Nothobranchius furzeri: one gene and its partner. The protein of the gene in region 2 purifies or fractionates together with the protein of the main gene of each other region. This does not show direct contact. Links are inferred from orthologs where the notes say so. Each region holds a gene or a part of one and is shown on either strand. Other genes may lie near its edges.

Region 1 (3,517 bases), on a different chromosome or scaffold from region 2:
TTTGGTGGTCTTTACGTTGAAACAGCGCCTCCCGCTGGAAAGCAGGAGTATAACCCAGCACAAAAGATGTTATTTCAAACAACACTGTATATTTAGATTAAATTTAATAAATAGTAATTAAATTTTACCCTGATACTATATTTGTATTTTAAAAAAGTACCTGACAATCATTCCAACCAGCTCTTGGGAAACGGTCAAAACAGAACCATGCTTGAGAGAAACAACTTTCAGCTTGTTTAAAACTATTATATTTAATATAATATAATTTAATATAATATACTTAAATATACAAATGAATAATCTCGAATAAACTCTATCATTATTTTTGCCATAGTGAGGCAAAGGAAATGGAACTCTTTTTATTTTGTTTGCATTTGTTTCTATTCTCCATGAATCACAGGTCCTAGTGTAAAAATGTGTTTGTTAGAATACAGTAAAATAAACTGCAGAATTGTTTATAAAAGTAAACAAAAGTAATTAACATTATTTTAGTTCCTCAAAGGATTATACCAATTTTCTAAAAACTTTTAAGGAAATCTGTAAAAAATATGAAATACATTAAAAAACAGGAACAACCACCACTACTACTCTGCCTCCTCCTCCTCCTCCTCCTCCTCCTCCTCCTACTACTACTACTACTACTACTACTACTACTACTACTACTACTACTACTACTACTACTTCTACTACTTCTACTAGCTACTACTAACAATAAAAATATTAATAATTTAAATAATTTAAAGTAGAAGACGTTTTATTTGTCTGTTAGTGGGGAAAGCCAGTCTTTCAATCAGCAAAAACCTGTAAAAATAAAGAGTGAAAAAGATACAATCAAAGGCATGGAAAGTAACAACTTTGTTAAACAGATAATAATCAAATAAACGGTTATCTCCCATTGTAATAATAATGATAAGAAGAAGAAGGCCGCTGCTTCAGCACTCAATAAGTTAATTCCTATATCAATCCAAACTTTTTAAACATGTGAATGAGTGATACTAGTGATCAATAGTTTATTATTTTAATCCTGAAAAAACACAAAGTTGTTGTTCATGCACTCATATCTATTTTAACAACGATAATAAGGAAATACTGACTCACATTTAGCTGCCCCAGCCCAGCGCCCGACGCAGTCCTCCACACCAGTAGGCGGCGCTTGACTTCAATAGTTTTCCGACCTCAGAACAAAGGAAACGCTGAAGAAGAACCTCCGCGCTGAAAGTAGAAACAAGTCAGTACATAAATAATGCTGCTTTAACTTCGTTGTGTTTTAAGGCTTTTTGATGTCTTTACGGTTATTTTTGTTTGATAATCGTTGGCGAAATATGCTAAAGCTACATCCGGTCGTGATCTGGTAATAAGCCAAGCAGCTGCGTTTCTGTTGTGATCGTTTTTACGTACGGAGGCATCGTTCTCTAGCCGGTAAAATGCCTCTGGGTTTGAAGCCGTGCTGCTTTGTCTGTAAGACGAACTCTTCCTCAATGTGGAAGAAAGGCACCCAGGGTGAAATACTGTGCAACAACTGCACAGGGAAGAGCAGCAGTAGCGGCGGCGGCGGGGGAGCTTCGGGACCCTCCTCCATATCAACCATCACACAGCCCAGCAACGGCGGGGCCAAGCAGGTCAGAAACACCGAAGAGAAACGCCACGAACAAAATCCGAGAGTTCATGAGGAATTGTTAGTTTTTATGTCTTATTTTAGTTAATTTTTAGAAAGCGTACACATGACTATAACATCATTGTTTTTGCTTTTCTTTAGTAGTGTCTTGGTGTAACAACAGCGCCCCCTGGTGGCCATGAAAATGTTTCTAGAAAGTAAACTGGAATAAAATAGTTTGAAAATAATACTTCATGTCATTTTTTTAATAAAATAATTTTACCATTTAGTTTAATATTTTTAATTAAAATAAACTGATTTATAGTTTTTTTTTCTGCTGAAAAAATGCCATCAGGAGCAGAAATATTTAAATGTGTCCATTTGTAGTCCAAACAGGAAATCCACAGGAGGTCTGCACGGCTGAGAAGCACCAAGTACAAAGCTCCTGCTTCTGAGAAAAAAGTGTCAACAAAAGGAAAAGGAAGAAGACACATTTTCAAGCTCAAAAATGTAAGTTTCTGCTTCTTTAATGTATTTATTTCTGATATCTTTTATTTGACCTCATCCAAATTATTTCCTCGCAGCCTATCAAAGCACCAGAATCCGTAGCAACAATCATCACATCAGAATCTATATTTTATAAGGTATGATTCTGATTCGTATTAAACTAAAAGGCATCGTAATGATGATACTTTAATCTTTTCTTCTTCCATCCTGTGTTTGTATTTGCAGGGCGTTTACTACCAGGTGGGCGATGTGATCAAAGTGATAGATGAGGAGGATGGAAAGCCGTACTACGCTCAGATCAGAGGATTTGTGCAGGACCAGTACTGTGAGAAAAGTGCAGCACTGACGTGGCTCATTCCCACTCAGGCCAGCTCGAGCGATCAATTTAACCCTGGAACGTACATCGTCGGTAAGAACTGTGGCTAAATAAAGGATTTTTTTTGTGAGTGATTTATCTTATTTCGCTTTATTATGTTTATCAGGACCAGAGGAGGATCTACCCAGAAAGATGGAATACTTGGAGTTTGTGTGCCACGCCCCATCGGAGTATTTCAAGTCTCAGAGCTCCCCATTCCCCACCATCCCCATATGTCCTGAAAAGGGTTACATCTGGACCCACATAGGATCCACACCAACTCTTACTGTCAAAGAGTCTGTCAGCAGCGCGAGCTAACAGGACCGATGTGGACTTGGCCTGTTGCCTGTTGTTGTCAAACAGATAAATGTACATTTATGTAACATAGAGAAAATGGTTGCGGACGGCAGCCACTATTTCAGTATAAAGGAAAGTTGCAATTTGATACTAGATGGACGGCGTATACAAGTTGTTTACACATAACTGCAATATTGGAATAAATTTGCAAATAAAAAAATGTGAAAAAACCCTTCAAGCATCAGTTTTGCCTGTTATTGTTGAAGAAAGTTTGTGCAAGAATTTCAGTATCCTGCAAATAATATTATTTTGTTATTTGGAAATGAAATGTTTAGTTTTTACTTCTTATTTACATTCTATAGATTTAAAAACACCAATAAATAATTTAAAACGGATTTGTTTATTTTATAATAAATCAATTACAAAAAATGTATTTTTCAATTTTACTGAATGCAATATTTATGAATTTATAAATAGAAAATGGTTTAATTAATCGTGTCTATCAAATGTAATACAGGTCCAGATATTAAAACCAAGCTTGTGAATAATAAACTGGTAAAACTGTACAATAAGGGTCCCTTTATTAACATTACTTTCTGCATTAATAAACTATTAAAGTTAACAATATTACGTCATGCATTACTAAGCAGACACCCCCTCCCCTCCCTTTGTCCCAACCTTAAGGACACTTAATAGTTAATGCTAATTAAGCGAGCTTTTATTAATGCTTAATACACTGTGTAACGCTAATAAAGGCACCCTTA
Region 2 (4,194 bases):
GCTCAATGACTGCTGGAGTTAGAAAGCCCCCTGCAACCCTGCTGATGAAAAGCAGTTAAGAAAGAGAGTGAGCAAGAGTTTTGTTATGAACCGCCTTTTTTATTGAATAATAAAACTCTTTCCTCAAAATAAAAAACATAGTGATAATGGATAGCCTGAACACTGAATGTAATCATTATGAACATATTTAAAGCTAATAAATCAAGTCGTTCTGGATAAAATCAACTAGGCCCAACCAGAAACTGTAGAAAGAGATCACAATCATTCCATCAGCAAAGCAACTAAAACATAACCCTATCCGGCTAAACGCTAAGGCGGTGGCTCCCTCTGCTGGTGAAGCAGAGAAACATCACCAGACCAAGGACGACCAGTTTCTGCATTGTCTGAGTTTCACCCAACAGTTTGCATAAAAATATACAAATTTTTAAATGTTGCATTTTTGGAGCTTTATATTGTCCTTCCTTTAGTTTAAAAAGTAAAATAAAAGTAAATTCATTCGTTTCGAATTAATTTTAGTTTGAAAACCGTCCCGATGTTTTCTAAATTAATAACCAACAATCTGCTTATTGTGTGGAAAAGTTCTGAATCTTTTCTTCAGCGATTCAATAAACAGTTTTAACAGAAACGGAAGTTACGGTAACATCGCGAATGAGTTACTTTCAAAATATAAGCAGCCCGTTCTGCTTCACATCGCACAGGAAACGTAACACAAACAAAACAAAGCTACTACATCAAGTTTTTCTTTGAAAACTTTCCTAAACCAAGCCTTTTCCAGAAAAGTTCAGCAACCTATTTCTGCTGATTCTGCCATTCCACTAAAAAAAGACAGTGAAGGTAACAGGTTCTTTCATGAGCTGACAAGAACTTTTAAAATGCCACTTTAGGTCACTTTCAATTATTTTTAATTATTCCAATTTCATTGTACTGAAGCAATTACACTTTCTCAGCAAGAAATTGACCACAATGTAGAATTGAAAAGTACTATATGTGTAATAAAAGTATTATATGTGAGCTAAACATAAACATGAAAACTGAGGTTCATGTTTATGGATCTAAATAATGTAACCCGGAAATTTTATTTTGAAGAAACTCAAAGGAACAATACCGTATTGCCGCGTGTTTGAGCGCACAACCAAAAGCAAAGGTTTTCCTGACCATTTTAAACATTCATTGATGAGTTTAAATAGCTGAAAGTATAATAGATGAAAATAAATTGAAGCTTCATTTCTTTACTTTTATTTTAACGCCTACACTTTCTCAAAGACCTTTTTTTGTGTGTTTTGAGGCTTGAATTTTTTTAACTGCTGCAAGAGCCTTTAATGGTCTACAACGGACTCACACTTCGTTACACTCATTACAATATTAGTATCGTTACAATGTTGTCCATTTCTTTCCTTTACCAGTGCGCATGCGCGTCTGGCGGTTCGCGGTTGCGCCAACTGGTAGGATGTTGCTAATAGCCCGTGTAGATGCACAGCCGTTCCCCACAACAATAACATCTAAATTTGCATCTTCACACCCTTGAATCGAGTATTACATTTTCTAAACGCGCTCGGAAGCTGTGTTTTGGACCGAGGCACGCCGAACTTCAAAGTGGATTGTTTGGTTCTTTATTCTGTGGACAATGGGAGCGGAGGGGTTTGCAGATCTACAGGGCTCCCTTTTGCAGGACCAGAAGCGAGAATCATGGCTTGCCAGCTAGGCCGCCGATGGATTTTGTCGCCATGAGCAAATATCCATTGATCATCAAATACTGGATGTATTTTCGGTGATTGCACATAAAAGTGGTGCTACCAGGCTCGCGTCTTTCTCTGACTTCTTCTGTTGATAAGACCGAGCCCGTTAGCTTCACAACCTTGACTGGCTGACGTCTTGCGCGTCGTAGTTAGCTTTTTAGCTAGCTAGTGATAGCTAACCATCTTGCCGCTGGCCACAATCTTTAGGAATTCAACATTTTTGCGGGATTAGCACTCACTGCCGTGTATCTCAAGGAGATCAAACTTCAAAGTCTTTCCTGCAGCGTTTGCTTCTGAATGAATGTGGGACAAAATGGAAACTCCGACGATTGTGTACGATCTGGATACCTCTGGGGGCTTAATGGAGGTGAGGTTGCTACGTTTGAAGGCCTCAGTGGAAAGATTGAGCTTTTCTAGCACTCTGGTTGTTTGATGTTGTTTTACTTAGGGTAGTTATGGCCATTATAGCGTTTTTACGAGCGACTTGGTCAGTAAAGTCTGGTTAGGGTTTGTGATGTGCTCTCAAGTTGGTGGTGTCTCTCGCTTAGTTCTATGACCGAAGACTTGGTTGTTTATTTTAATAAACAACCAAGTCTTCGGTCATAGAACCTGCATTTTTTTACGTTTTTAAATTTCCTGTGTAAATGTAACCGCCCTGGTTTCATTTTACAGCAAATCCAAACTCTACTCGCGCCTCCAAAGTCCGAAGACGTGGACAAGAGGAGTCGAAAGTTGGTGAGAGACGTCCGGAGGAGCGGCAGAGCCACCAACCACGACACCTGCGACAGCTGCCGGGAGGGGGGAGACCTGCTCTGCTGTGACCACTGTCCCGCAGCTTTCCACCTACAGTGCTGGTGAGTGCTGGCTAGCAGCAGCAGCTCCGCGCGCTGTGGTGCTGCTTTAGCTAGGCGGTGAATGCTAACCATGGTGGGGCTGTAGATGCTAACCATGGTGGGGCTGTAGATGCTAACCATGGTGGGGCTGTAGATGCTAACCATGGTGGGGCTGTAGATGCTAACCATGGTGGGGCTGTAGATGCTAACCATGGTGGGGCTGTAGATGTTAACCATGGTGTGGCTGTAGATGTTAACCATGGTGGGGCTGTAGATGCTAACCATGGTGGGGCTGTAGATGCTAACCATGGTGGGGGGCTGTAGATGCTAACCATGGTGGGGCTGTAGATGCTAACCATGGTGGGGCTGTAGATGCTAACCATGGTGGGGGGCTGTAGATGCTAACCATGGTGGGGCTGTAGATGCTAACCATGGTGGGGCTGTAGATGCTAACCATGGTGGGGCTGTAGATGCTAACCATGGTGGGGCTGTAGATGCTAACCATGGTGGGGCTGTAGATGCTAACCATGGTGGGGCTGTAGAAGTCAGTTCTGCTCTGAATTACAGGAATTCCGTTATGACCCAACGGCTCTGGGACTACCAGCTGCCTGTTGGTGTTGAGCACATAATCTCTCTGTGAACGAATAAAGTTCCCTCTGCATTATCGCACACACCGGGGGATGTTGTCACGCCTATTACCTAGCTTGTTATAACCAGACGGTTGATCGTAACTTCGATGATTGCTCCAGAGGTGTGTTATTAAGGTTTGCTCTCTGCGGTTTAAACGAGGCAGAGTTGACTTGCAGTCGGTCCTCCTCTCCTGCTGCTGCTGCTGCTAAAAATGGAGTCGAGGCTGCCTCTGTTTACAATATGGCGACTTCTCTGCTCTCTTCAGCGCCATCTTACCAACCTTTACATTTCGGTGCCGAGGGGCGAAAGGTTTGCGAATAGCATTAAACCGGCGGTGTGGTTTTGTGAGTGTGTAGCGGTTGTTGTTGTTGTTGTTGATCGCTGTGACACTTCCGGTGGCGCATCAGGAACTTCTGCTTAATCACATCTGGTTGAGGAGTTGCGTTTTGGCTGTCACCTGGAAGCGATTTGACTATATTTGGTCATGGCGGTCAGTGGCAGGCTGATCTGGGACGTGACAGGTTGTGCTGAACTGTTAAACCAGCTGTGAACACGGGAATTTCCCAGCTATGCGTGATAACCCCGCACGGTAACGTGTCCCACCGCTGATGCGTTTCAGATGCCTCTGATTATTATAGAGCAGTTCCTAGATCAGCTGCTTTCATGTGGAGGAACTAGTTTTATACATATTCTACTGTAATGGCATGATCCGTCCACCAGGGGGAGTCATTGCTGGGAAAAGGCCTCCGAGTGCATTTTCAAATAGATTTGGTTTGATATTCAGTTTAAATCACGTGACTGAATGGACAGTTATCATTTCCTCCTTCAAGCCTGATGGTTTATGCTTGTTTATAGTAACCCACCTCTGAGTGAAGAGATGCTCCCGCCAGGTGAATGGATGTGTCATCGCTGTAACGTTAGAAAAAAGGTGAGTTGCAGGTGCGCCTGCACGATTCTTTTTTATTAGGTTAAGTTGTGATCCATCTTTGAGATGT

Evidence for each region. The genes of interacting proteins can lie anywhere in the genome.
Region 1: the proteins of phf12b (region 2) and gatad1 purify together in Homo sapiens (affinity purification with mass spectrometry; 7 studies listed by BioGRID and IntAct, with this or other methods). This does not show direct contact. The link is inferred for Nothobranchius furzeri from reciprocal best matches to the Homo sapiens genes PHF12 and GATAD1.

What each region holds. Positions count from the first base shown.
Region 1 is NC_091759.1:18,088,339-18,091,855, reverse strand, and holds gatad1 (GATA zinc finger domain-containing protein 1), read left to right. Parts: upstream 1-1,197; 5' UTR 1,198-1,424; coding exon 1,425-1,619; intron 1,620-1,981; coding exon 1,982-2,104; intron 2,105-2,178; coding exon 2,179-2,238; intron 2,239-2,326; coding exon 2,327-2,510; intron 2,511-2,583; coding exon 2,584-2,774; 3' UTR 2,775-2,997; downstream 2,998-3,517. UniProt on the Homo sapiens protein: Component of some chromatin complex recruited to chromatin sites methylated 'Lys-4' of histone H3 (H3K4me), with a preference for trimethylated form (H3K4me3).
Region 2 is NC_091753.1:61,665,443-61,669,636, reverse strand, and holds the start of phf12b (PHD finger protein 12), read left to right. Parts: upstream 1-1,392; 5' UTR 1,393-2,037; coding exon 2,038-2,103; intron 2,104-2,408; coding exon 2,409-2,590; intron 2,591-4,029; exon of another isoform or gene 4,030-4,040; coding exon of another isoform or gene 4,041-4,054; coding exon 4,055-4,127; intron 4,128-4,194.